Elephas maximus indicus: one gene and its partners. The protein of the gene in region 2 interacts with the protein of the main gene of each other region in a biochemical or structural test. Links are inferred from orthologs where the notes say so. Each region holds a gene or a part of one and is shown on either strand. Other genes may lie near its edges.

Region 1 (7,226 bases), on a different chromosome or scaffold from region 2:
TCCTTCATACATTCCCAAAAGAGCAATCTCTCCTCCCCACCACATCTTCCTCCTTTGGTTTATAATCAAAAACTCCTGGTTTTGAAAAGCATTTCACTACTCAGCACCTAAGGTTAAGTTAATCAAAAGTCAAGATCTAGAAATCTCTTTGGTCTATGTCTCTGGAGCAGAATTCTTGGAACCAGACTGCCCCCACAGCTGTAATTACACCTTAACCAGTATTGGGATATGGAAGGGCTGTTGACACTGCTGTCACTCTCCTCATGCCTCATCCTCCTTTTTTCCTCTATTATTAAGCTTTTACGCAAAGATGTGTGGGAAATCTACAGTTTAACAGTTGAGTCAACTTGTAAGGTCTGGGAGCAGGTTGCCTGTCAAAACAGACTCTGACTTCAATCTTCACCCACTTCTAACTGAGAAAGATAAATTATGCTCATGAAAACCCACTAGACTCCGTGTGTCATTTAAACATTGTTATATTTTTCCTTTCAAAACTATTCAAAAGTGAAAAAGCCAACTCTCTTTCCCCGATTTTTACAAAAGAACCCGAACTGCCATCTAAAAGCAGACTAGAGGGTAGTTTTGTGTGTCTATTACACATACATGGAGCAGAAGTTGAGAGCTTTTGTTCTGAAGGTCTATACAACATTCTCTCCATCCAAGAGAATGAACAGCCAGTGTCCCCAAACTGCGGATGGGTGACAGCAGATGGCGTCTCAGAGGGGATAGAAAACTCTCCTGGAAAGCATGTCTGTCACTTCCTCAAGGGTACAGGTTAACTGTGGTCAAACTGTATTCACTCAACTCTGTTCCTCAAGGTCAGAGCCACAGACAAGACAAACATTCCCTCTCCCTTTCCCGGTTCCAAGTATGGAAAGAAGGGTCTAAGGCACAGACACCAACACTTCCGAGACACACATCTACTCCCTCTACAACACCCAGCATGAGAAAACCATCAAGAGCCCACAGCAACGGCTAATCATAAAAACCAAAGAAATCTGAAAGAGTTCAGGCTAGCGGAAAGCTCTCCCCAAAAGAGAGGATGGAAGCAACAAGAAAACCATTTCAGAGACCTTAAAATCTGGGAATTGCTCATGCTTGCCCTCTACAGCCCCAAAGTGCCAGGTTTTTATTATATCTGATTATATATTCCAACAGTCTGCCCATAACTCATATCTGAGTTTTGTATTTAACAGCTGAAATACTGCCAGCTGTGCGGGTGGAGGGGAAAGAGAAAAATATAACACAGGAAGTATTTTCTCCTCCTCCAATCATTAACACGGCCCAGGGGAAATAGACCTGGTGTGTCACCTTTAGAGATGTGGTTTGACCTGAAACCCCTCTGAGGGAGAACACCTACTTTTTGGTGACCCTTGAACGACTGGCTCACACTGTCTGGGGACCCACCCCAACTCATCAGACCTCCAAGTCCATTCTATTTACCTTCCGAAGTGTTCTCCCCTACCACGCCCCCTCAAAAAATAAAAAAAAAATGAAAGGCTGGGTTTCCCCAGCCCAAGGCTGACGCTCGCTCCTACTGTCCATCTCCACGGCTAAAGAGGCCACCTCCGAGTCGCGGAATCAGCACGGAGCCAAGCCCAGGTTTACAGATTCGGTTTAGGAAGATCGATGGAGCCATGGAAACAGCAGACACCCGCCGGAGCCTGCTGGCCTCCCATCTGGAGCCGCACAAGCACCGGAGGTAGGAGGGGGCCTGCTCTAGGATCAAAACAATCCCTCCCCCGCGCCGGGGGACGGTATCCCCGCGGAATCTCCAGCCTTGCCCCGGCGGGCCAGCGCGCCCCGAGGCGGCACGGCCGCGCTCGCGAGGCCCAGGGAAGTGAAATCACACATTCCGGCTCCCAAATAAGGAGCGAGGCTAAATAAACCTCAGAGATCCGACTTCTCCAAACCAACCGACCAACCAGCTCAATGAGTAATGGGCCTTCTGTGCCCGCAGAAAGACAGAAAGGAGGGAGGAGAGGATGGGGAGCCACGGCCTCCGAAAATCACTTCCTAGAGACGGGGTTAAGCACAATTGGTCCCAAAGCCAACCGTCCCGATTCGGCAGGATCCCGCTCAAACCCCAAAATGGCAGAGTCCGCACGAGTCGTCTCGAGTCCCCGCCACTCGCGCCCCGAGGTGACCGGAAGCCCGGCTGGGCCGGCAGCGGGTCAGATCCGACCTGACCTTCCCGGCTCGGCTCCCCGGAGCCGCGCACTTGGCACCACTCGGGCACCCCGGCCGCCCCGCTGCGGCCACTCACCCCGCCGGCGCCGGACGCCCCCGAAGGGTCAGCAGATGAAGTGAAGGCGACTCCTCGCCCCCGCCGCCCGGAGAGCAGGGGGTCGTCCCGGGAGCGCCCCTTCTCCCTCCCCTCCCCCCGGCCCTAAACCTACTTTTAGGGCGAATTTCTCCTGGGTCCGCTTGTTGAAGATCTGCAAAACTTTCCCGTTGATCCCCAGCCCCAGGACCTGGGTGGTGACCTTGTAGTCGTCGGTGATGGCGTTCTTCTTGATCTGCAGGCTCGACTTGACGTGGAACTGCGGGAACTGCGGCGGGGGCTGCAGCGGCGGCTGGGCCGGGGGGTGCGGCGGAGCCGGGGCGGGGGGCTGCGGCGGCGGCGGCGGGGCGGGGAACAGCACCGGAGGAGTCTGGCCTTGGGAGTTGGACAGCATGGTGCCCGGAGACGCGGGCGCAGGGGCCGGAGGGCCCGCGGCCGCCCCCTCCTCCGGCTCCGGACCGGGTCCCCGCCACCCCCCGCCCGGCTGGAAAGTTTGCTCCGGGCTGGAGCCGGCTTCCCCGCCCCGGCTCGGCTCCAGGCTCGGCGGGTCGCGGGGCTCCGTGGGTCCCGCCGTCCGCCGCTGGCGCCCACCGGCCCTCGTCCCTCCCCCCGGGGGCCTGGCGCTCGGTGGAACGCGGGACGGCGGGGGCCGGCCGGGGGGAAGCGGCCGCGCGACAATGTACCCAGCCCGGGCCGGCGGCCGCGTCACAGCCTCGTCTGCGTCCGGGGCTGGCCCTTAAAGGGGAGGGCCGGGGGCGGGGCTTGGGGAGACGAGGCGGAGCCGGGAAGCGTGGGTGTCTTAAAGGGGAGGACGCGAGGCGCCTGCAGCGTGGTGGGCCGCGCCAGTGGCTGGGAGGCGCGAGACGAAAAGGGGAGATTTTAGTTCTTCCCCGGTACCACACAAAGGGAAAGGGGTGGTGGAGGAAAGCAGCTACATAATTCAGATGGAAAATCCACTTTTCTCCAACCGTCTGGGTCTTTTAGAACAGCAGCAGCGAATTGGAGGAGGGGGTATGTTTTGAAGGAGAAGGGATGGCAAGTGTGAGCTTGATAGGCGCTCAGGAGTTTGTTGAAATCACTGGGGCCGTTCATCCTAGAAACACGTGTGATACTAATATTAGATATTTACTTAATTGAACAGTTCCCTCGTTTACCTATGAGTTTTGGATTTATTTCCTCATACATGTATTGTTTTTCATATGAATTTAAAAGGATGCGGGATGGGAAGAGGATGGGTCGAGATCCAGATCACCTGAAATCAGGTGAGCCTTTACAATTGCCTGGCTGCATGATCAGAGAAAGACAGACTTTGCCCCTCTCTCTCGGTGGAAAGAGTAGTGACGCCTTTCTCATGGGCTTGTGGAGAGTATCAGGTAAGATCATGGAGAAAAGGGAGAGTCTGGGGAATAGGTTCTGATTTCCAACGTGGAAAATGTTTTTCCTGAACCTACAGGCATAAGAAGAAGCAGGCGTTTCTGAACAAGCCTAGTTCTGGCCCAGGGTAGCCCCATGTATCTGAAGAAGATGCCAGCGAGCTAGGGGGTCCCATAGCATAGCCTGGATCAGGGCAATGAGTGGGAGGCCCTGAATATAAGCTGCCAGGAGGCCTGGGCATGCATTCTGGTGGGGCCTGGGCATGACTATCAAATGCATCCCTGCTGACCTCCTCCCCTCTCCGACTAGTAGGGCAGTTGAGAAGTAAGACACAAAACCTCAGCTTAATTACTCGTGGGCCAAATTAGAGAATGTGGCTTGACCTATGGCCACCATCGCCCCTATTATGTCCCTCCACAAGTCCAGAGCCCCCTGTCAGGGGAAACTCAGCTTAGGGAGAAGCAGAGAACTTCCTGAGGACCAGGCTTTTGAGGAGGGAGCCCAGGAGAGGAAGGCACAAGTACCAGTGACTCCTCCCTCCCTCACCTTTCCCAGAAGACATTTCTCCCGCTGGGAGGCCAGAGTGAGGGGGTGGAGGGAAGGGCAGGAGTCGCTGTCTGGCTCTGTCCCTCCTGAGACAGGAGGGCTTGCTCTACAAACCAAGGAGCACATTCATTCTTTTTAAGGAGCACTTATTTAGTGCTGACTGTGTACATGGTACCATGCAGTGATGGATGGTGTTAACAATTTTGAGGGTAAGGAGACACAGACATGTACTAGATATCTTTAGAGAGGCACAGACCCAGCCCCGGGAGCTGAAGGAGTAGCGATCCTCTGTCTGGGGTAGCAGGGAGCTTCCTCCTGTGCTGTAAGGACGGGTAGGGTTAGACACCTCCCCTGAGCTCCCTGACTCTTCAAAGACAAAGAGGCTACCCAAAACCACAGGGGTTGGAAAACACCTCCACCTCCCCAGTTCTAATGTATTGCTATCACCTGAGGCAGGCTTGGGAGATCCCCCAAAGAATTAGGGTCACAAGGATGGGGGGAGAAAGGCTCCGTCTGATCAATTTCTTTCTCAGGTAGAGGGGTCACTGGTCTGGGGCTGTTCAGGGCTCCGGGTTGGCCTTTTTCTCTCTGCAGAGGAGTAGGGGACAGGGCTTCCCCTTGCTTGGCATTGCACTTGACTGGCTTCTCTCACAAGGCTAGGAAGAGTATAGCTCCTGGTGCTCTTTCAGAGGCAGCAAGGCATAGTGGAAAGAGAATAGAAATCAGAGACAAATGACCCGAATTCACGCCTGTCCTCCAGCTGAGTTATCTTGAACAAGCCATTTAATGTCTCTTTATGTCTAGAAAATGAAGAAAATAATAAAATCTGCTTTCAGGGTTGAGTGAGAATCCACTGAGATAGTGCACATGAGAACCCTTCATAAACTGTAAACTAAATTATCATGAAGTGTTAAATATTATCATTATTTGTATATTGCTGGCCTTGCTCCCCTGTGCTGAGCCCACTGCCTAAGGGTCTGTCCCTGATATCAAAGCCGCCTTCCTATCTAGCTGGGGCTCTGGGGAGATGCTAAAGCCTGATGACCTAGGAATAACATGACAACTGGAATCCTCATGGAGTTGAGAAGTAAGGCAGATTAGCCCTAGAGCGGCATGCAGGACTCTAAGGACACATAGACAGTGCACAGAGATTACATATACTACACACGCAGCCCCAGAAAACACACACATGTATGTGCCTACCTGAAAACCAAAACTAGATCCATTGACCTCAAGTCAATATCAGCTCATGGCAATCCTAGTGTTACAGAATAAAACTGCTCCGTAGAGTTTTCTTAGCTGTAATTGTTACTGAAACAGATTACAGCAGTACTGCTGGGTGGGTTCAAACTACCAACCTTTAGATTAGTAGTCAAATCCAGATGATTTGCACCACCCAGGGACATTTAACAAAAAAAAATGCCTAAATGGATGAATAACTGAGGAGCGAGCTGGGCTAAAGGAAGAAGCACTAGGCAAGGGAACCAGAGTCCATTGTGGTATTAACTAGCTATATGACCTCAAGAACATACCTTACCCTCTTAGTTCCCTCTTCTCATCTGTAAAATAGTGATAATAACATCTGCCCTGCCTACCTTGGAGGGTATCTTAGTCATCTAGGACTGCTATAACAGAAATACCACAAGTGGATGGCTTTAACAAAAGATGCTTATTCTCTCACAGTCCAGTAGGCTAGAAGTCAAAATTCAGGGCACTGGCTCCAGAGGAAGGCTTTCTGTCTCTGTAGGCTCTTGGAAGGTCCTTGTCATCAGTCTTCCCTTGGTCTGGGAGCATCTCATCACAGGAACCTCAGGTCCAAAGGATGCGTTCTGCTACCGGAGCTGCTGTCTTGGTGGTATGAGGTCCCTGTGTCTCTCTGCTTGCTTTTCTCTTTTATATCTCAAAAGAGATTGGCTTAAAACACTAATCTTGTAGATCTCATCAGTATAACTGCCACTAATCCTGGTGGCGTAGTGGTTAAGTGCTATGGCTGCTAACCAAAAGGTCAGCAGTTTGAATCCGCCAGGCGCTCCTTGGAAACTCTATGGGCAGTTCTACTCTGTCCTACAGGGTCTCTATGAGTTGGAATCGACTTGACGGCAGTGGGTTTGGTTTGGTTTGGTTTGGTTTGGTTTAATCCATCTTATTAACATCATAGCGTTAGGATTTACAACACATAGGAAAATCACATCAGATGACAAAATGGTAAACAGTCATACAATACTGGGAAGTATGACCTAACCAAGTTGACAGATACTTTTGGGGGACACAGTTCAACCCATGACAGAGGGTTATTGTAAGGATAAAATAAAATAGTTTCCCATAGGGCACAAAGAAGTCCAAAGTCCTACTTATATAATAGCAAGCTTTCAGCTGCCTGTAATGAGCTACTTAATAAACAGTTTTTATGGATTTATAAAAACTTCAAGGGTTAAAAGTCTATGCCAATAGAAAGTACTGTTTTTATCTACAGTTGACAAGCAAACAGACGCTGTGCAAGATAGTACACAGACAATGTAAGCAGCTCAGGTACACAGAATGGATTACTTATAATCATTGATTCATGACGTCGCCTCATCACTGGATCGGTGGCCCTTGTGCCTCCACTTTTATGTAGTTACTTGTTATTTTTAATAAGGTAATAGGCACCTGTGAACCCACTACCCAAAATTAAAACTAGGCGTTTGACAATGATTTACATCTAAACAGGTGGTACCTCGACCCCCTCCCCCAACCTATTTTTGTTTCCCTGGCCCAAGATAACCATCATCTTCAATCCTATGTTCATCATGCCCTTTCTTTCTTTTTTTGTATAATTTTATTTCATGTGGACACATTTAAAAGTTTAGGTGTCCAACCATCATAAAAGATGAAGCTGAAAATGTCTTAAAAGGGAAGTAGATATGGGTGACTTTATTAGCAAGAAGAGGTTAAAACAAGAGACCCCTTATGATAGCTTCCAAGTATTCCTTTCCTGATGATGATGCTAATGATGAAGATGATAACTGCTCACATTTACTGA
Region 2 (6,802 bases):
TCTGCAGGTCCCAGCCTGCATTTCTGGGCATGGGGGCCAGAGGATTAGGTGCTTTGTTGAGGCTACCACCCCACCCCCCTCAGAAAGCCACTTTGGAGTTGCCACACTTTCTGCATGGTCCTGCCCCTCTCTGGAGGATAATGTGGTCAGGAAAGAACTTTGAGCTCCCAGGTCGCTCCCCTCCCCCAGCCCTTCTCTGTCCCCCTTCACCTGACCCCAGGCTAGTTGTCTTTATGTTCCTGAGTTTGAAAGCCAGAGTCAATTGCCCCTCCTGGTTTTCCCTGTCCCGCACCTGGCCCTTGAGGTTTTGTCTAGTTACAGCCATTAAAAAAAACATTACCTCTCTCTTAATGGTCATGGGGCTTAAAGACAGGGCTGTGTCCTGTCACATATACACTATATCCCCAGGGCTTGGCTCCCGGTAGCCCCTCAGCAATTTCAATGAATGTGTGAGTGTGTGTGTGTGTGTGAGTGTGCAGGGTACTAACCCCCCCCCACAACAGCCCTCCACAAACACCAGAGTCTGAGGCTGCACCTGGCGGTTGCTTCGAACTTTATTTGAGAAAAACTGAAGGTAAACGTATCAAAAGAGCATACAGATTGGTGAGTGGGGATGGCCAGCGATGGCTACTGGGGTGTGGGGGTGTTTGGGCAGCAAGGTCGAGACTTTTACTTGGCAGCAGGCTGCTCGGACTTCCCAGCTTCTGGACTCCCAAGCTGGGCACGTGCCTCAAAGGTGACAGGAATGGTGATCTCGGCAGACTGGGTGGCTGGCTTGGGCATCGGGGCCTCCACAGTGAGTGTGCCCTCAGGGGACAGGGAGGAGGAGACCAGGGTGGGGTCCACACCCTGGGGCAGCCTGGGCATGCAAAGAGAGAGGCCAAGAGTTACACAGGGTAGGCACCGCGGCCTTCCACCCAGCCCCTTCCCTCCCGTGAGCCCCCTCACCCCATCTCCGGGACAATCTGGGGCCAGGACTCACGTGTATTTCCGGGTGAAGCAGCGGGAGATGTAGCCGTGCTCGTCCTGTCGCTCTTCGTGCTTGCCTGTGGGGAGGGGGTAGTCATGAACCAGGGGCCCCGCCACCTGCCCTGGCGTGGCTGGGGCGCAAGGCAGACGCTGATGGACTTAGGGGTTTGGGGGACCCGCCTCTCCCGGGCCCTCTCTCAGAAAGTCCTGGAAAATTCGTTCCGGTCTTTTGGACCGTGGGGGCACTGCGCCAGCTCGCGGGGCCTTGCAGGCGCTTGAGCACTTGCACGCCCCCAGCAGAGACTCGGGCAGGGGCAGCGCCGGGACCGTCCCCGCCGCTACATGCCAACAGCACGCCGGGTGCGGCGCAGCACGGTGGGGCGCAGGAAAGCCTGATTATTTGGGGAGTGGGGCTGGGAGTTGACGATGGAAGGGGTGTTTCTTCCCTAAACAGGCCGTTTTTAGAGCTGAAAGGGCCCTGAGGAACTACCCCCTAATATAGAAGGCGAAACAGACGGGAGGAGTGGCCATGACAGGCGGCTCAGCTCCTGGTCCTTGGCTACTTCTAACTTCGAACCCACAGGCCCCGCGCCCACTCCTTCAACCGCCCCCCCCCCCCCAACCCGGCCTAGTTCTTCACCCCAGGCTGGCTAAGTCAGGAGGCCCGCTCTCGCCATACTAACTTCGTCCGCCTGCAGGGGAGCGGGGCCTTACCGGTGATCTCCACCACGCCGTCCTTGGTCTTGACCGTCAGCTCCTCGGGGGCGAAGTGGTTGACGTCCAGGGACACCCGCCAGCGGTCGGACGTCTGCCGGATCTCCGAGACGCCGCTGCTGAGTTGCCGGCTGAGCGCGCGGCTGTAGGCAGGCGCGGCCACGGCCACGGGCCCGGCGCCCTCGACCGCGGCTGCAGGGAGCGGCCGCACGTAGCCCGGCCAGCCGCTGTGGCCGAACCACTGCGACCACTCCTCGGGCAGCCGGGGGAGCCCGAAGGCCTGGTCGAAGAGGCGGCTGTGGAGCGGGTACCAGTCGCGGAAAGGGTCCCAGCTGGGGCTCCGCAGGAGCGAGAAGGGCACGCGGCGCTCAGTCATGCTGGTTCAGCTCGGTTGGATGCGTCTGGCTGAAGTTCGGAGAATGTGGGGCGGCTGGCCCCGCTAGGGCTTTTATGGGTCTCCAACCGGATATTTTTAGCAGGCGGTGTTTCAGGTCTCTATTAATGGCAATGACTGGCTGGGGTCTGTCCCTCCTCCTGCATTCCTCCAACGGGGGCGGGAGCGGGGGCGGGGGTGAGGCGAGGAAGGCCCTGCCCACATCGGGAACCTTCTGTTGTTAAAAAAAAAAAAAAAAGGGCTGGAGCGCACGTACTAGTGTTGGCCGGACACTTGCAGGCCTGGGCGCTAAAGCTCTGAGCTGCGGTCAGTGGACAGTCCCACTCTTTTGTTAAGGAGGACAAGCCGAGAGAGTTTGAGTTACTTGTCCCAGGCCACACAACTAGTAAGCAGCGGAGGCAGGATTTGAACCACACTGTGTCTGTGATACAATGCCTTAAGAAACAATCTGGTGTGGTCGTTAGGAACCAGACTCTGGTTCTGCCTGAATGCACATCTTGGTTCTGCCCCTAATTGTATTAGTTTGGGCAAATGAGATTCTTTGTGCCTCAGTTTCCCCATTTGGAAAATGGAGATGATGTAATAATAATGCTTATAATAATGAAGGCTTCTGTGGCTTAGTGCCAGGCCTTAGGGCCTGGTACCTAATGATTGTTAATATTATTATTATTATCTACTTGAAATGCACAAGAGGGAAGAGGAAGGATGAAAAAAAAAACCCAGAGGAAGGATAGTGTGTACAAGTCTGTTCTCTCCACACCCCAGCCCTGTGGCAGAGGAGCTGGCATGTGTGGGTTTGACATTCTTCCCTGCCCCTAGTAAACTGGGCTGGCCCAGCTTAGAAACCCCCAGGTCTAGTCCTGAGAGGGTGGTGGTGGGGGAAGCTTATTGCCAAATCTCCTGTTATATCTGTTTCTCAAGGAGCACTGGACAGGGAACCTGAAGTGCAGCAATCTGGAATCTAGTCTGGGCTTTGTCGTTGACTTACTGTGTAATTTGGGGCAAAGCACCTCCTTTCTGTAGCCTCAGTTTGTCCTTTTGCATCTTATGATTTCAAACCCCCTTTTGTATCTGATTCCCACAGCACAAAGGGAAAGAGGGATTCTAGGTGATAGATGGAGTCCCTGGGTGGTACAAATGGTTAACACACTTGACAGCCAGCCTAAAGATTAGAGGTTCGAGTCTACCCAGAAGAGCCTCAGAAGAAAGGCCTGGCAACCTACTTTCCAAAAAAATCAGCCATTGGAAAACCCTATGAAACAGAGTTCTACTCTGACACACACTGAGTCTCCATGAGTTGGAGTCCACTTGAAACACTAACAGAGCCAGACCTCTTGCCTCCTAGTATCCAGGGCTCTTACCCTTGTGGGGCTCCTGCCCTGGGGTCCTCTGGTCCCTCTTTTCCCAGCCCATTCTACTTGCTACCCTTATGCTGGGGCTGAGGCCCTCCTCTTGCCAGGTCTATAGGGGACCTATACCAAGGCCACTAAGGCCTTGCCCTGGCCAGGCCCAGACTCCAGGCATACCTGAGAGAATGGGAGCCAGGACTCGAGGTTGCTCATCTTGATGGGCTGGGGGTGGCCACAAGTCTCATGCCCTCTCTGAGCCTCGGTTTCCTCTTTGAAAGAGAGCACACAGACACCTCTCTTTCTTACCTCCCTGCTGCTCATCGGGGAAAAGCCAGGACTGGGCCCCGAAGCCAAGGCCACCTCTGGAAAGGCCTCTGAGCTCCGGGGGTCTGGAGAGCCCAGGGTGGGAGGCAGGCAGGACTCCTGACTTCTGCCCCATTTCTCTTGCTGGATCATGTCATAAGCCCAGTGGGTTTCTGCTGGGAGCTACTGGCCGCCCCCCAAGGGTCTCAGCTTCAGGAAGCCCAGGCCTTTGCTCCCTAGCATGTCCAGCCCCACCTATCCCTAGCTCTATAAAACAGAGATGAGATCAGGAACCAGGGAGGGCCTCATCTGCCCCTGCCTGTCCACCTTGGCCCAGACTGGAGCCCAGGGCACCCCACCCTAGAGGGAGCTGTCAGGTGTGGTCAGGATGCTTTCAAGTGCAGCCTTGCCAGGCCCAGACGCCCTTTGGGTGGGGGCCGTCTGCTGGCTGCCAGCCCTTTGAACACAGCTCCGTTCATCGCTCCCTTCATCTCACCTGAAACCAGGGTGTGGAGAGTCCATCCCCGCTGGCCCAGCCGGAGGAGGAAGTTGTGCAACCCAGGGGGCCCCACAGCACCCCGATCTGGGGGCTGAGAATGCATATCCATCTTCAGTGGGTCAGTTCTTGAGGGACAACTTTCATATCATCCAGTCAATCACAAGGGAGGGACATGGATGGCTCTGGGCAGCACCGCGCTGGGCGAGATGGGGGTGGGGGTAGGAAACTGCATTTGGGGGTTAGACGGGATTGGGAGTGAATCTGGGTACTGGTGGTCTTTCTGGGCCCACATGTCCCATCTGTCAAATGGGGTAAATAATAAATGCGCCCACCCTGCAGGGTTGTGGTGAGTCTCAAATGCAATAAAGCCTGTTACAGGCCTGGGGCTCAGTAAGTGCTCCTGGCCTTTAATTTTGGACATTGCAACTTCAACGAAGTTGTATGTATGTGCTTTACTACTTCAAAGTATCTTATCAGAGTTCCGTTATTCAGATGAGAAAACTGAGGGTCAGAATTGCCCCAAGGTGACAAAGCTGGGAAGGGTGGGGAGGGATTGGAACTCAGGCCTCTTGATTCCCTGCCCATCAGTCAAGAGACTTCCCAGGCAGCCCAGGAAGGGCTGTGGGTTGTAGGCTCCCAGAGTGCAGAGTGGGGTGTGCAGCTAAGGGTTCCTTGTGGGGCCAGGCACTCTGGGTCCCTTCCAGCCCTGACCAGGCATCCTTCCTTCAGGAGGTGATACCGGACACCTGCCACAGGGCTTGGTTAGCAGAGCAAGGGGTGGAAGTCAGCCCTGACTGGCCGATTGTTCTTTGACAATTTGAGACTCCGACTCTGGCATCCTGGGGCGCTGAGCTGCCAAGGGTAGTTTTTCAGTGCTCACCCCCAGAGGTTTTCCAGAAGCCACAGGGCAGGTGCTAGCCCTACCCCGCTTCATTACCTATTGTATGGTCTGGGCATTCCTGCATCCGAGACAGCCCCTTCTCTCCTCCCTAGCCCTGAAGTCTGGGGTGCTCCTGAGCAGCCTCCTTTGCACCATGTCTGAGGCCCTGGCCACAGTAGCCATGCCCTTGGCAGGCCTTTGTTAACTGTGGCTGAACTGGCCCCTCCCTCTTTGGCTCAGGGTCAAAGAAAGCTCCAGAGTGTTCAGGCAGCTGCCTGAGCTCCCTGGAGAGGCCTGACAGCTGACGATTGCACCAGCCACAGGGCCTGCCAGAAACTGAAAATGTAGGCAGCCGTAATTAGAGTGCATGGGGGTGGCAGGCACGGGGTCTTTCTGGAAGCTTCTATACACTGCCCCTCTGGGGCAAAAACCCATCTCTGGCCTGCCTTGCTTCCTAGGCCTCTGGCTTCTGAATTGTCCAGGGGTCATCCCTCCCCAAGCACTGCTGAAGGGGACTAGGAGGGAGCAGGTGGGAGGGCTGGGGATCCATCTTCCAGCACCTTCCACCCCCTCTCCATGGAGCAGAAAAAATGGGAGTCTGGGAACCTGGGATGTCTTTGACTCTGTGACCTTGGCCAGGGGCCGGCTGCTGTGACTCATTTTCTTCATCTGCACAATGAGACCATTGGACTGGCTGTTCTGTAAGACTCCTTTCAGGGCCAGGAAGCAACAGTTGCTCCTCCAGGGTCCTCCCTACCCCAGTGCCCTGCCTACCTGCTCTGCAGTCTAATGCTGCAGCCGTAGGGGGGGTGTACATGGTAAATGGAGGCAGAGATTGAGGGGTAAGGGGAGGAGGTGAGACACTCACCAGGCCTGAGATGTGGATGTCCCGTCCCTGTTGACCAGCTGAGCCTAGGCCAGGCGTGACTTGGGGCTGCTGTCCCTTTAAACCAAAGTAAGGTAAGAAACAGGGGTGGGGGCCCAGGAATTCCCCCTAGACTGGAAAAATTGGAAGGAGAAAGGGATTCCTGTGCTGAGGTGGATTTGGGCTTCCAGCCTAAGGGAGAGAGCCCTGGAAAGTGAGCAAGAGGCTGTGGAGATGGGGCCATGGGACAGGGCACCCCCACGCCTTGGGTCTCCTGAGAGCCCTCCACAGGTGGAGGGGGTCTGGTGATAGGAGTGGTTTGCTAAATACTCCCGCAGCTGAGAGAGAGGGGCAGACAGGAGGCCAGGGGGCTTCCAGAAGCATATCAGAGAGGGAAGGGATGGGGGTACTGGCTCAGGGCTGGGACACCCAAATTGGGCATATGCACTTGTGTCTTGTTGTCCTGGGTCTGGGGTCGCAGGTGAACGGTTAGAAACCGTTAGAAGAAATGGAAAAATACTTCCAGGGAAATGGGAAATAGGAAAGCCTGTCCAGCCTCCCAGCTGCTGTGTGGGTAAGGAGGAGGGTAGGGGGTCCCCACGGGCCCCCATCTGAGGAGAGAGAGACCAGGATAGAACCTGCTACACCCTAAAACCAGAGAACTTGTTCCAGGCTCAGGACACATCCCAGGGAAGGTGGCCCAGCCCGCCCCACCTCCACCCTGTCTATCCGTTCCCTATCCCCCTCCCCCTTCCACAGGAGGCAACGAGAGCTTCCTGTTTTCCTGCCTGCCTTCCTGGCAGTATTTTTCCCCTTCCCAAGGTAGAGA
Region 3 (7,475 bases), on a different chromosome or scaffold from region 2:
AACCTGGGCTAGAGACTAGACAGGCTATGAGATGAGGACAGGCCAACCAGGAGACCTGGGGTATAGCCCAGGGAGGAAGAAGGACAAGCAGAGTGCATGGCACCCACCCAGGCTGAGCTAGGGCAGCTGAGTAGACAGCTGGGACCCATTTGTGATCTGACCAAACTCCCTGGGCCCAGGCCTGCCCACATGCAGAGAACCCAGGTCCTGGCCAGGGGCACTTGGGCAGCACTAGGCAAAGGGCAGAGGCTACGAAGCAGGGAGATGGCATCTCCCTCCTCAGGGCCACAGCCATTTACAGTAAGGTACAATGACCGTGCCAGGCTGGTCCCCAGTCCAGGCCCAGAGTCTCCCAGCAACCCAGAGGTTGTGTCAGCACTGCTTTGAGAGGTGGGGAGGCCCTGGCCTAGCCGGGTGAGGCCTACCAGGCTTGGTCAGTGGAGGAGTGGAGGGGAGAAAACAGGAAGGTACTGGGGGGATGCCACATCTAATCCATGCCATATTTGAGGACCAACTTGAGGTTAGTACCTCCAGCCACGTTTACCTCTAAAACCTAGAGGAGGAGACACAGGAACCTACTCTAGGCCTGTCCCACTTTCCAGACCAGAACAGGGCCCTAAATTCAAGAGGAGGTGCTCTGGAAGTTGCTACAGTAGAAAAACAGAAGCTCCCCCAAGTCACTCACCAGATGAACAGATGGACACACACCTGTGGAGAAGGGGCTAGGATCAACCCTGCTTAAAGTTGGTGATGCCTGGCTCCAAGGACTCTAGCCTCCCACCCATTCCCCACCTCACACATGGCATCTGGAGTAGCATGGCGGCTGCTCAGAGGTTAGCCCTGACACAGGGCCAAAGTCTCAGTATTAAGAAGCAGTTTTCTGGCCTGAACTGGTCCTTCACCTACCCAGGCAGCCCCATGACCCCAGCACAGGAGAAGGGGCTAAGATGCGTATAGACTCCCAATCTCCTCTCCCTTATCCCCATAGCCCCTCAGAGGAGCCACTTTTTCCCTAAAGGACTCAGAGAATTCTCTGCTTGGGACTCCAAAAAGTCTCCCACCCTGTATCATTGCTCAGTTAGTGGGGTCTGGGGACCGCCCCACCAATCCAGCCCTGAGCCTCCCCTTGGACCCCTCAGATCCCCTCCAAGGCTATTCTGGAGAAACAAGCCCTCCATTGATCTTTGTACCCCTGGGAAAGACACCAAGTGTTGGGCCGAGGCCCATGCTCAGATACTGGCAGACCATGTGCCCTAAACAAGCCCTATGCCAGGCCCAGTACCAAGTACTCTGCCCTTATCATCTCATTTCAAGCTTACATCAATCTCTTATGTTTCCCCCTGAATAGAGGAGGACAGCTGGCTTCAAGAGTCCAGGACACTTCCCTGGCAAATGCAGGGCTGAGATTAGAGACGTATCCGTAGGACTCTGAGCTCAGGCTCATAACCACAGCTTCAGATCCTTTGCTGTACTTCTAATCTCCAGGAGCCACTCTGCCTGCCTTACTCCACCCATTCAGGTGGCTACTGGCACAAGATGCAGATGAGCAAAGTTCTCAGCTGACGACAGATTTGAGGAATTCTGGGTATGGGGTGAGGTCCTGAGCACAGAACTATGTGACTTAAATCAGAACCACACGGCTAGATCAGCCACCCCCAGATCCCCCTGATTCCACCAGTATCAGCAAGGCCTGGGCCAGGCCTCTAGATGGCTGGCCTGCTCTGCTGTGGCTAGATGGCTGGGCTCTCCTCTGTCCAGGAGCCAGGGTGGATCAGGCTGGGATCAAGGCCTGCCCCTTTTAACAGGGGGCCAGTGACTCAGCAGGAGCCCATCAGCAGCCTCCTGCCCACAGGCGTGATGGGCATCGGCCTTGTCCTCTGTCCAGCCCTAGGAGGCTCCTGGCCCTGGCAGGCAGTGGACCACCAGGAGAGAGCAGTCCCACTTCAAGCCCTGCCAGGACTCAACCTCAGGCAGAGGGAAACTCAGACCCATCACAGCCAGAGGAGCTGATCACAGAGGGAGCACCCAAGCTGAGTGAGGGCTCCCCTGGGGCCTGAACACACATAGGCCCAGCCAGAATCCCTGTGTGAGGAGGCACTCCTTCCCAGCTTCCGGGTATAGAGGCCCTAACCATATTGACTGCATCCCTTGCTCATTGGGACACCCAGAGCTTAGCTACACTAAGCCTCAGTTTCCCCATTTGTAAAGCAGGGAGTGCCATGGTCCTGACCACACAGGGGCTTATGAGGATGAAACGTGACGCTGAGCATAGGAGGCTTGGCAGGGACCTGGGCCATAGCCTGCACGCGCAGACCTCTGCTGTCGTGCCCTCTGGGATACCCCAAGCCGTGGCGAGGGGTCACTGACCTTCAGGGCACACTTCTGCCCCGTGCGCCGGTGGAAGCACTCAAGCACCTTGCCGTTCACGCCCAGGCCAAGCACCTGCTTGGACAACTGGTAGTCGTCTGTCACCGCATACTTCTTGGGCTCCCGCCGCCCCCCGAAGGCTGGATCGCCTCCGGAGCCGGGTCCGCCGGGTGCACCCGGAGGGGGCGTGGGCCCCCCCTGCTCCGCTGCTGTTTCGCCATCCATGGCCCCCGCGGGGCACTCAGAGGTGGCCCCAGCCTGGTGCGTCCAGGACCACCTGAGGGAGAGGGGAAGAGTGAGTCCCTCCTAGACTCTTCCAGCACCCCAGTCCTGGAGCCCCTGAGTTGGGCTGGGCTTTGGATCGGGGACAAGGCTGTACCGCCTGAGTACCTCCGCGCAGCAAGAGGCGGTGGTCGCGCAACCAGACACGAGCGAGTCCGCCCTGGGCACGTGTCAGGAAGGGAAGGGTCCGGGCGCCGAGTGGCCCCGAGGTCCCCAGGGCGGGCCGCGGAGGGGACCCAGCGAGGGCGTACCTGGCGGCGGTGCACCTGGCAGCGGCGCGGGACGGGGGCAGGGGCAGGGGCGGCGGTCGCGGGAACCGAGGACCGCGGAGCGCCCTGGGCCGAGAGTCTTGCGGCCGGCGGCCCACGTGACCGCCCCCCCGCGCGTCATCCTGACTTGGGGCCCCGCTCCGTGAGCCTTAAAGGGCCAGGCGGGACTCGGCTGGGGAGGGAAGCAGCCCTTGGCCGGCCCCGCCCCGGAGTCCCGGCAGAAATACGGGCGGGCGGGGCTTTCTGAGGGGCGGTAACCTCCCTGGCTCTGTGGGCGGTCCCAGGAGAACCCTGCGCCAACACAGCCCAGTCCCAAGTGGTTTGTGCGAGCCCCGAAATTTACGAGAGACCTAGGAGGTGACAGAGCAAGACGTCTTGTTTCTGTTGGAGCCTCAGATATCCACCTGAATGGGGTTGTTTTCTCTGCACGCTGCCGGGCGGCCCTCCAGTCTGGCTTGCAAGGCAGGAGACTTCCGCCTTCCCTACTTGCCGCCAACCGCCAGCATACCCAACTTCTGAATGTTCGCCAGCATGCTGGGCAAAGTGGCATCTCTTTGGTGTTTGATTTGCGATTCTTTCCCCAGTAACTCTGGGGAGTCTCTGCCGCACTGGAAACCTGTCTGCTTCTGTGCACCTCCTGCTCGTCCTTGGCTCGTTTTTTCCCTTGAGGTACAGAGTCCTTGGATCCGGTCAGATCCATCAATTTTTCAGCTTACGTTTGGGCTTTTGGTGTTGCGTTTTAGAAGTCGCCCCCTCCAGGTGACACGAATACTCTCTATTCGCTTTGTGGTTTTCCCTTCCACATTCAGGTCTCTATATCATTCTGAGCCTGCCTACTAAGGTAATCCCTTACGTATTTTGGTCCACTTTTCCCAATACAAAGGCTACCAAATAATCCCTACTTTACACATGAGGAAACTTGAGGCTCCCAGAGAGGAAACAACTCATCTAGAGGCACAGGGTAGGGGCTGCACTTCTCCTGCAAATCCTCCACCTTAACTTTGTACTGTTGCAGTCTATCTACAGGGAACTGCCAGAAATTCAAGCCGGTTTCAGAAGAGGATATGGAACCAGGGATATCATTGCTGATGTCAGACGGATTCTAGCTGAAAGCAGAAAATACCAGAAGGATGTTTACCTGTGTTTTATTGACTATGCAAAAGCATTCGACTGTGTGGATCATAACAAATTATGGGTAACATTGTGAAGAATGGGAATTCCAGAACACTTAATTGTGCTCATGAGAAACCTTTACACAGATCAAGAGGAGTTGTTCGGTCAGAACAAGGGGATACTGATTGGTTTAAAGTGAGGAAAGGTGTGCGTCAGGGTTGTATTCTTTCACCATACCTATTCAATCTGTATGCTGGGCAAATAATCCGAGAAACTGGACTATATGAAGAACGGCGCATCAGGATTGGAGGAAGACTCATTAACAACCTGTGTTACGCAGATGACACAGCCTTGCTTGCTGAAAGTGAAGAGGACTTGAAGCACTTACTAATGAAGATCAAAGACCAGAGCCTTCAGCATGGATTGCACCTCAACATAAAGAAAACAAAAATCCTCACAACTGGACCAATGAGCAACATCATGATAAACGGAGAAAAGATTGAAGTTGTCAAGGATTTCATTTTACTTGGATCCACAATCAATAGCTGTGGAAGCAGCAGTCAAGAAATCAAAAGACGCGTTGTATTGGGCAAATCTGCTGCAAAGGATCTCTTCAAAGTGTTGAAGAGCAAAGATGTCGCCTTGAAGACTAAGGTGCGCCTGACCCAAGCCATGGTATTTTCAATCGCACCGTAATGCATGTGAAAGTTGGACAATGAATAAGGAAGACTGAAGGAGAATTGATGCCTTCGAATTGTGGTGTTGGCGAAGAATACTGAATATACCATGGACTGCCAAAAAAACAAACAAATCTGTCTCAGAAGAAGTACAGCCAGAATGCTCCTTAGAAGCAAGGATGGCGAGACTGCATCTTATATACTTTGGAAATGTTGTCAGGAGGGATCAGTCCCTGGAGAAGGACATCATGCTTGGCAGAGTACAGGGTCAGTGGAAAAGAGGAAGACCCTCAACAAGGTGGATTGACACAGTGGCTGCAACAATGAGCTCAAGCATAACAACGATTGTAAGGATGGCTCAGGACCGGGCAGTGCTTCGTTCTGTAGTGCATAGGGTTGCTATGAGTCGGAACCGATTCAGGGGCACCTAACAACAACTTCGTACGGGGAAGGTGCGGCGCTGGGCAGTCCTCTGCTGCGCTAGCCTCTGCTGCCATCTACAGACAATCGGCAGGACTGCAGGTACCGGCCTCTGTCCCACCCAAAGGCTTCTCCAGTAATCCTTCTCAGGACTTCGGAATTGGGATCTGGCAACCCACCCCCCACCCCCCCCATCCTCTAGTGCGCGCGCGCGCGCACACATACACACACACACGCTTGCACGCACGTGGACACCAGGACTGCAAGAACAGGCTCATTCCTGAAGACAGGCATTTGTGCCCTTCTCCCCCTCGCATCTCCTCCGCATAGGGTCGCTGTGAGTCGGAAACGACTCGACCTCAAAGGGTTTGGTTCCCGCCCGCCCCCCCCAATCTCAGTTGCCTCCGCCAGAGCTTGATGATCTTTCCGTGAGTGAGAAGCAGTGCTATAAACTATTGGTGGGTACCTCCAGTGTGCAGGCATTGAGTGGGGCCGAGGATGCCAGGACTCTGTCCCTTCAAGCCTAGCAGAGCGCAGTGAAGCAGGTGTCTCCAAGGATGCTCTCAGCTAGCCATACTGAGTCTTTTTGGGGGCCAGACACTGGGCCCCATGATCTTCTCACTGCCACCGGAGGAGGGAGGGCTGTACCTATTCTGCGGCACTGCAGACAAGCCCAGAGAGGTGAAGAGACCTACGTGACCAGCGATCATGGCAGAGCCCCCATCCCAACCACAGAGCACAGCTCCAGGGCCCATCTCTTACTCTCGAACTGTATTCTCCTCTCATGTGTTTCCCCAACCCCCCAGACACATCCACGACTGCAAACACAAGCTCACATACCTTCACACATGTACATACATATGCACACTCATGTGTTTACACATGTGCACATGCACACATACACATGTGCTTGCATGGGCATGCACATTTCCAATACACAGGCATACATGCAGACACACACACACTTATGCCCAGCTGAATCTAGGACTTCTGTTCCTGAGCCCCACCTGAGAATCTGATTCAAGATCTGCAAGTCTGGGAGGAGGCCCTATAATCTGGGAAGTTCTGCTGCTTAGAGGCTGGAGAAGGAACTGCCCTCTGGAGGTAGTTGGTTTAGGCTAGGCAAAACCAAGGCTGAGCGAGGTCTCATTCTGGACAGGCAGGGTCCCATGTAAGCAAAGGGCTAGACAGCAGAGGGTGGAGACTGGCTCCTTGGCCCAGCCCAGGGCATCTGGTGCATGTTGTGGTCTCCACGAAGATGTCTTCTTTTTTAAAAAATGGAGTGAGATTACAATTGCTCTAAAATTTTATAAGTCTATTTTTTAAGTTGGTCTTTTTTATTCAAAATTTTTAATTGCATAAGTTCAACTTGTTTGTTGGAACAAATTCAAACCATATAGAAGTGTAAAGAGTAAGCAACGGTGATGCCTCTCCTGTCACAGGTCCTGTAACCACTGTCCATGCTAACACAGGCACGCACGTTCCCCACATAGGTCCAGCGTAGACAGATGTTCTGCAACTGCTCATTAACTCAAGACAGTCAGGACGTGGTTCACCCTCACTGCTTGTGTGGCATGATCTAGAAGGGCCATCATTCATTAGCCCTGCAACCATATGCCACCACATCCACCTTCACACTGATGGGAGGAGGTGAGATGTGGGATGGCTGGGCCTGGACAGGGGTGGGTTCATGGTGGCTGACTCTGCCACATCGCAGTCAATGATAGCTGTGTGTCTAAGGAAAAACGGGTCTGAGGCCTTGGGAACAGCTCAAAGCGGCCAAGGGGCCCAGTGAGGACTTGGGTGGGGGGGGGGCTAAAGATGGGGGAGAGGGTTGCACATGTGAGAGTCTAGAGACTAAATGAGCCTGACTTCGGGGAAGGCACTGCTGTGGATTCTTGGGGCCCCTACTGTGACTGTTCTGGGTGGGAAGGGGTAGGAGGATCCTGCAGCAAGGCCAGTCTCCGCCGTGCAGGGAAGGGGTTCTCATGGAAGGGAACATCTGTGGAGAGGGTGAGTGAGGCCATGTGAAGGAGAGCCGCTGGGTGGCAGTGTAGACCCAGCAGTCAGAACAGGGAGCAGCCAGGGCAAAAGGCCTGAGGAACCTGCAATGACTGGGGTGAGCAGGCGCAAGAAGGGCACACCAATGTTCCCAGTATGCAGGTGAGGTGCGCAGTGCTGTCAGATTCCCAAAGGGTCGTCGGTAAGGCCAAAATCCTTGAGACCCTTTGGTTTACATGCAGAACTGCCCAATCACTGAGCTCTGTAGGGGATACTCTACATTGACTGGACTAGGGGCAATGAAGCTTCACTGGGAGCCTTCAAGCTGGGTCCTGAAGGATATCTA
Region 4 (7,722 bases), on a different chromosome or scaffold from region 2:
AGGGAGGGCACAGTAACCCAGAGGTGAATCGTGCCCTTGCCTTTAAAAGTTTTGGGCTTTAAGCCTAGCATTTCACAGGACAAAACTGATTTGATTTTGTTGAACCCAATTTTAGACTAGGATTAGTCTGACTACCCCAATTTCAGTGGGGTAGGTCTGCAGTAAAAGAACCTTTGGTATTAAGTGTCTTGTTTTGAAAAAGTCCAGAAATAATCCACAAACACCTCTGGACTGACTTACTCAAAGTTTATCAAATATCCTAACTTGGGAGGATGGGGCAATTTTAACAGAAGAAATAATCCCCTTTAGCTAGGGTTGGCTAAGTCACATTGACTTCAGGAGTCCAGAAGTGAAGTACTGGCCCTATTCCAGTTCTCAGCCCAAATCCAAACCAAAATCATCCATGAAAAGGCAGTTTTTACATCATAAGACTAATAGTAATGTATTATTAATATTACAGGCAATACTAAGGCCATTGCTCAGTATTAATCTGTTTGAATAAACAAGAAGTCAAATGATCTCAAGGCTCTGATCAGTCTATTCCTCCAACTCAGACGTTCATTTAAAAAATCTGCCAGTGGGTTTCAACAATACAACAATGTGTAGCATTTCTGTTTCCCAGAAAGGTTTAAAACAAAACAAAACAAAACAAAAAACTCTTCCCAGGAAAGTGCAATTAGACCTGTCCCTGAAAGTCAAAGTGGTAGGGGTCAGTTCTCCCATGTCGGAAAACTATTTAGCCTTAACAGCAAAAGTAAAGTCGACTAACAATGAAGCAGCAGGCTAATCTGGAAAGCTCAGGCAGGTGTTAGCAATGCTGACAAATTGAAAGGCTTCTTGGTATCCTGGGCAGGATGTTCTGTTCTCAGAAAATTTCCACTCTTGAGCCGGGCTTTACTAGTTTTAAGGCCCAAACACCTTCTAACGGCTTCCAATTTATAGGTTTCTGGGATCCATAGGTCCATCTCTAACAAGAAGTAAAAAAACCAATGATAGCAAGATTGTGTATCCCTGTCATCCCAAATGCTTTCTGAGATTCCCCAGAGACTTAAAAGATGAAACAAATTCAAAAGGTAAAGTCTAAGACCTTTTTCAAATTTATTGTAGGCTTAGACTATCTGGTCTGGGTTAGCAACTCAGGAATGAGCTAATTATAGTATCCCCTATTCTGCCAAAACACTATCTAGAACTTGCTTCACTTCCCAAGAGGCTTCCTTTCCCAGAGAAGCAACAGCCAAGTAAGATAATTATCTCCCAAATGACCAGCCTCTATCTTACTGCTGGGTGCCTGGAAGAACCCCAAGGTAAATTCTACAGGTTTACCTTATCTCAGCCAACCATGCAAGATAACACACAGCAAGGCAAAAACATTTTAAAACTTTCTTTTGTTTCAGGTGTTGGCAGCTTTAATCTATCGGCAGAAGTATAAATTCTTTGCATAAGTCAAGGTCATCCCTGCTTGGATTAGAGGGTTAGTTCCCTCAGCACGGCAGTTTCTGTTTAAAGGACCAAGTTATCCAGAACCAACCAAAGTTATTGCCATCCAGTGATTCCGACTCATAGCGACCCCATAGGGCTTCCAAGGCCGTGGATCTCTATGGAAGCACACTGCCACTGGTGGTTTCGAACCACCGATCTTTCAGTTAGCAGTAGATTGCTTTAACCACTGCACCACCAGGGCTCCTTACCCAGAGCCAACAGTACAGGCAATTTGAATACAAGCAATAAATACCTGGAACAATATTCTTATGATCCAAAAGGCAACAAATGTCAATTAAAGAGTCCCAAAGAATAACAGAAATTTCTTCCGGGTAAACTTAATAGCAGCAAAACCTGAGCAAGTAGTAGGGCTGGTCATGTGACCTTGGCTATACTATCTCCTCCTAAGTATCTTCACTTATTAGCCTCTACTGTGGGGAGAACATTCTTTGCGATTCCTTCTCCAGTCACATGTGATAATCATGCAGGAGGTTTTATAGAAGCATTCCACCCCACCCAAACTATTCCTATATAAAAAGTAAGTCCAAGAGTCCCAAGGACAAACAGGACCTGAAAGTCCCACCTCTCTAGCAGGAACTGCTTCGGCTGGGTCACTAAAGGTTTAAATAACAGGGCTGGAGGAGAAGAAACAGGGAGTTCAGGAACTGACAAGGCTCTCCCTACAAGGCAGAAGGCGAAATTAGCCACTGCTCCAACTCTGCCCAAAGAACAGAATGAGCACTTCTGTTCATCCCCGCCCACCCGTTACCCCGACCTCTCCTCTCTGGAGCAAACTCCTGTGGACACACCACCTCTTTACTGGCGACTCTGATCGTGGCTCCTCCTTTTTCCTAGGCCATTCATCACCCTCTTCCACCCTATACACCTGAGGGGACAGGAGGGCCCGCCCTCCCCACCTGCATGGGGTCGCATACCAGAGGTGAGCAGCCCACTGCACACCCAGGAGCTGGAAGGCCAACGCAGCACGTGGTCTCGAGAGCTCCACGCAGGGCTGGCTGCCAGCCAAGCGTTCAATCCCTTTAAAATGCGCAGGGGTGCGTAGGGATGGGAGAGGGAGACCCCGGCGCGCGAGGGCCTGGCAGTCGCCTCAGCCCCACCCTGAGACGGCGCGCTCCCTCCCCTAGTCGCTCACCTTGGCCCCGAAGAGCCGGGCGGCCGCAGTGAGTAAAGCCATGGCGGGCGCGCTCGGGGATCTGGTGGGTAGGGAGGGAGGGGAGAGAGCTGCGGCAGGAACGGAAGCCGCCGCCGCCGCTGCACCAGAGGCCGCACCGACCGGTAGACAAGGTTGAAAGGAGGCGGCTGAGGGAAAGGGTAGACGAACCGGCGGCGGGGCCCAGCCCGGGGTCCTCAGTGAGGCCCCGCCTACTGCCCCGAGCCGGATCCCGTCCCTCTCAGGGGACCAGCCCGGGGTAAGGCCATTGGTCCGGTGTGGATATGGGGCGGAGCCTGGGCCGTTGTCGGCGGTTGTGGCCGAGAGGATTGGACCAGCCGGATTAGGATAACGAAGGGTAAGGGTGGAGGCGGGGGATCTTGTAGGTGGCTAAGTATGTGCCTGAGAACTCAGTTAACTTCTTCGGCTTTTTCCCTTCCCTTTACACATTTGAGGTTAATTCTAAGGTATTAGAGAAAAAGCCCCAGGACCTCGATATTTGAAGGTTCTCGGGAGTCAATCCCTTAACCTATTATTGCCCGTTCCTCCTACCCCCTTGGCATGTTCTCCCGAAGAATGGCTTTGGTTAAAGACATAAGGCTATGGAGGTGATATCATGGGGACGTGGGCTGTGATTGCCAGAGTTAGCCGCTTGGTAGAGCTCATTTGAGGTCAGCACAGACCATGGTATTATAGATGCTAACAGACCGCAATGTGTGGAGAATGGGAGCAAAGGCAGGCGCCTGAATATCCAGTGCTCTTTGTGGGCTGTCAGTTCTGCTCTAGTGCCAGAAAATCCAAGTCTTAAAAACACCCCCTTAATATGAAGGCTTCCCAGCACTGGCCAGAGCCTCTAGGTCCTGGGCATTAGTCACTGCCACCCCAGTCACACACCCTATACAGCCAGACCACTCTACATCTAACCACAAGATCAGGAGCTGCAGATCAACCCCTATCCAAGATCAGGCATTAGACATCCTCTTTGTCACATCACTTCCATAGGATCTTTGGGTACCATAGGTCATTCAGTGGTGTCTGGAGAGCACAGGATAAGTGAGTACTTGGCTATGCCATGTACTCACTTATCCTGTGCTCTCCAGACACCACTGAATGACCTATGGTACTAAAGTGATTTTCCACGCCACTCTCTTACCTCTTTGGATGGACAAGACCTTAGGACATTTCCACCTCCCTAAACCTGTCATTGTCATTGACCCAGGGGCAAAGGGGAATTTATAGGACCAGGGTACCTTATCTACAAACCCCAAGCCTCAAGTGAACAGTCCCTTTATCTTCTTACATAACATTAATGAGGTTCAGAGATCACAGTACCCATCTAAGTCAGGTTTTGATAGGCCTAGTTTATACACAACACAGTTTATAGCTTTTGGAGAAAAAAAAGAAAGCTTCCTTTTTTATCTTCCCAGGTTTCCTCATATCCAGTCTCATACCTACTAACGAATGCTCCTCTGGCTTGGGGATCAGATAGGTGGGTACTAGGAAAGAACGTCATAAAGAGAAGCCAAGCAATGCCCAGAGGAAGCACTGACCTCAGCTACCTCCTCAGGACTTCAAAGCTCTATTGATCAATATTTGCTCCCCATTTAGCTTCTCACAGATGATTTCCTCATAACCCTAGAATAATCTGACCTGACTCTCTTCCCTCTGGTTAATTATCCACAGAGACTAGCCAGCAGACCAGAGGACTGAACTTCAGTAACCCAAGAGATAGGTGGCATCATCAGGGTGAGGCTACCAAAGGGACAATTATTGGATGGCCTATTGGAATGTTGGCAGGAGGGATCGGTCCCTGGAGGACATCATGCTTGGTAAAGTACAGGGTCAGCAGAAAAGAGACCCTCAACGAGACGGATTGACACAGTGGCTGCAACAATGGGCTCAAGCCTAACAACGATTGCGAGCATGGTGCAGGACTGGGCAGTGTTTCATTCTGTGGTACATAAGGTCGCTATGAGTTGGAACCAACTCAACGGCACTTAACAACAACATAAGGATAACCTATTTTGGACCTCTAAGTCACTGGAGGGAGGGTGGGCAACAGCAGTGCTCTAAACCCCTTGACACAGGGCCCTGGAGCCTAGTGTCATGAACACTTTATGGACTTTTTGAAAGTTGTCGAATCCTGATACCCACTGCTTTAAGGCCAGTGGGAAAGCCCAGGCACCAAAGGGGCTAAAGGAGATCTCCCAGGAGCCGGCTTAGAATCTCTTTCTAAATATGGATGAGACCTGGAGAGGTGGGGAGAGAATGGGGAAAGATTGGAATGAATAAAGCATCCAAGTGAGCTCTAGGTCCAAATACAACTAAGTGTCTCGGAACTGGAAGCGGCAAGAGACAGAAGGCTGAGTATTGAGGTTATCATGACCTTGGGAGGACCTTTTTAAAATGGACAGGGACAATGGTGCCCCCTTGTGGCCAAGAACAAATAGGAGACTGTAGCTAACTTTAAACTCAAACTCCACCAGGAGCCCTGGTGGCTTAGTGGTTAAGAGCTCAGCTGCTAACCAAAAGGTTGGCAGTTGGGATCCACCAGCCACTCCTTGAGAACCATATACAGCAGTTCTACTCAGTTCTATAGGGTTGCCGTGAGAATCAACTTGACGGCAGTGGGTTTTGTTAAAACTGTCCACATAGAAGCCCATGTTGCGCACTGAAGGGCTCAGTTGCCAACTAAAAGGTCAGTGGTTTGAGCCCACCAGCCGCTCCACTGGCGAAAAATGTGGCAGTCTGCTTCTATAAAGATTACAGCCTTGGAAACCCTATGGGGCAGTTCTGTTGCATCCTATAGGGTCGCTATGAGTCAGAGTCAACTTGACAGCAGTGGTTTTGGTTTTTTGGTTTGGTAAACTGTCCATACCAGTAACCTAAACACCTGCATTTAATAGCTAAAATTTATTGAGTACTTACTGTTACCAAATACTACCTAAATGTGGCATATGCATGTCTTCATTAGTCCTCACAGCAATTCTAAGGGATATAGGTGATAATAGTATCTTTAAAAAGGAGGATACCAAGGCTTAGATAAAGTATCCTGCCTAGGGTCACATAGCTCATAATTGGCATTACTAGAATTCAGACTGAGGTCTGCCTCACTTCAGAGCCTGTATCTTAACTGCTAAGCTGTACTTTTTATACGAGAGACTGTGACTTAAAAGCTGCAACTCAGAAAGGGGATTTTTGAGTCATTGTGTCCTAGGGACATCAGCTTTATATGTTCCTATATTTAAAGATATTTTAAAAGATAAGGAACTATAGTCTTGTTGCGAGGTGCTGTTGAGTTGATTCCAACTCATAGCGGCCCTATATACAAAACAAAACACTGCCTGGTCCTGCGCCATCCTCACGATCATTGCTATGTTTAAGCCCGTTGTTGCAGTTACAGTGTCAATCCATCTTGTTGAGGGTCTTCCTCTTTTTTGCTGACCCTGTACTTTACCAAGCACGATGTCCTTCTCCAGGGACTGGTCTCTCCTGATAGTATGTCCAAAGTACGTAAGAGGAAGTCCTGCCATCCTCCTTTCTAAGGAGCATTCTGGCTGTACTTCTTCCAAAACTATAGGCTTAATCATCTGTAAAACCTTTATACCTGAAATACATGATAAATGGTGATCCCTAGAATGCATAATGAAGAGGACTTTTTTCATGATTAGCACCTAAAATGACCAGAGAGATAGAATGGGCTTCTTACAAGAACAACCAGTTTGGAAACACGGTTGAAGAGGATATAATTTTTCACTACAGAATACTAGAATTAGAGGGCATGCCTTCAAACTTGGAGACGGTTTTCAAAGAAAAGTACTACTTTACACAGCCACTGGAGATCACACGGAGACTCCACTACATGAAGTGAGATGTAGCAGAAAGACCACTGACCTAGGATTAAGATGATCACTGGGGCTGAAGCTTTAGCTCCCTGCTGACTAGCAAGAAACTTGACCTCTCTGAGCTTAGTTTCTTCACCTGTAAAATAGGAATGTTGTTGTTAGTTGCCGTAGAGTTGATGCCAACTTACGGCAACCCCACGTGTATAGGGTAAAACCACTCCATAAGGTTTTCAAGGCTGTGATCTTTTAGAAGCAGATAGCAAGGCCTGTCTTCCGAGGCCTCTTGGTAGGTTCAAACCAGGAGCAGATTATCCAATAGGCAAGGTGAGCACGGTGTTTACCTTGCTTACTAGATCATCTGTAGTGAACCACTTCATATGAGTTTCACCACATCAAAGATGTGAAGTTGTTCACTACAGATTAGTAAGTAAGCACAAGTAAGCCCATGCTTACCTTGTTTACTGGGTCATTCACCCATCAGTGAGGATTTGAAAAGAGGCTTTGATTCTGCGGGAAGGTGCTGTGGGGTTGGGAGAGAGACAGATGCTACACATACCTAGAAGCAGAATCTTTGATGATGTGAAAAAATGTGAAATTGTCCACTACAGATGATCTGGTAAGCAATGTAAGCACCATGCTTACCTTACCTATTGGATAATCCACCCCTGGTTCTTACCGCCAACGTTTTGGCTAGCAGACAAGTACGTAACCATTTTTGCCACCCCAAAAAACCCCACCACTGCCAACAAGTTGATCTGACTCATAGCGACCCTATAGGACAGAGTAGAATTGCTCCATAGGGTTTCTAAGGCTGTAAATCTTTTTTTTTTTTTATAATTTTTATTGTGCTTTAAGTGAAAGTTTACAAATCAAGTCAGTCTGTCACATATAATTACACCTTACTACATACTCCCATTTACTCTCCCCCTAATGAGTTAGCCCGCTCCCTTCTTCCAGTCTCTCCTTTCGTGGCCGTTTTGCCAGTTTCTAACACTCTCTACCCTCCCATCTCCCCTCTAGACAGGAGATGCCAACACAGTCTCAAGTGTCGACCTGATACAAGTAGCTCACTCTTCATCAGCATCTCTCTCCTACCCATTGTCCAGTCCCTTCCATGTCTGATGAGTAGTCTTTGGGAATGGTTCCTGTCCTGGGCCAACAGAAGGTTTGGGGACCATGACTGCCGGGATTCTTCTGGTCTCAGTCAAACCATTAAGTCTGGTCTTT

What was found.
Region 1: of the proteins of HSPB1 (region 2) and MAPKAPK2, one has a biochemical effect on the other in vitro, tested with the Homo sapiens proteins (17 studies listed by BioGRID and IntAct, with this or other methods). The link is inferred for Elephas maximus indicus from reciprocal best matches to the Homo sapiens genes HSPB1 and MAPKAPK2.
Region 3: of the proteins of HSPB1 (region 2) and MAPKAPK3, one has a biochemical effect on the other in vitro, tested with the Homo sapiens proteins (2 studies listed by BioGRID and IntAct). The link is inferred for Elephas maximus indicus from reciprocal best matches to the Homo sapiens genes HSPB1 and MAPKAPK3.
Region 4: the proteins of HSPB1 (region 2) and CS form a complex in vitro, tested with the Homo sapiens proteins (2 studies listed by BioGRID). The link is inferred for Elephas maximus indicus from reciprocal best matches to the Homo sapiens genes HSPB1 and CS.

Annotation. Positions count from the first base shown.
Region 1 is NC_064836.1:16,407,954-16,415,179, reverse strand, and holds the start of MAPKAPK2 (MAP kinase-activated protein kinase 2), read right to left. Parts: upstream 3,008-7,226; 5' UTR 2,679-3,007; coding exon 2,400-2,678; intron 1-2,399. UniProt on the Homo sapiens protein: Stress-activated serine/threonine-protein kinase involved in cytokine production, endocytosis, reorganization of the cytoskeleton, cell migration, cell cycle control, chromatin remodeling, DNA damage response and transcriptional regulation.
Region 2 is NC_064830.1:94,249,982-94,256,783, forward strand, and holds HSPB1 (heat shock protein beta-1), read right to left. Parts: upstream 2,180-6,802; 5' UTR 2,060-2,179; coding exon 1,684-2,059; intron 1,047-1,683; coding exon 983-1,046; intron 860-982; coding exon 670-859; 3' UTR 506-669; downstream 1-505. UniProt on the Homo sapiens protein: Small heat shock protein which functions as a molecular chaperone probably maintaining denatured proteins in a folding-competent state. Plays a role in stress resistance and actin organization.
Region 3 is NC_064838.1:54,949,825-54,957,299, reverse strand, and holds the start of MAPKAPK3 (MAP kinase-activated protein kinase 3), read right to left. Parts: upstream 3,016-7,475; 5' UTR 2,901-3,015; intron 2,645-2,900; 5' UTR 2,593-2,644; coding exon 2,368-2,592; intron 1-2,367. UniProt on the Homo sapiens protein: Stress-activated serine/threonine-protein kinase involved in cytokines production, endocytosis, cell migration, chromatin remodeling and transcriptional regulation.
Region 4 is NC_064822.1:116,265,751-116,273,472, forward strand, and holds the start of CS (citrate synthase, mitochondrial), read right to left. Parts: upstream 3,009-7,722; 5' UTR 2,675-3,008; coding exon 2,633-2,674; intron 1-2,632. UniProt on the Homo sapiens protein: Key enzyme of the Krebs tricarboxylic acid cycle which catalyzes the synthesis of citrate from acetyl coenzyme A and oxaloacetate.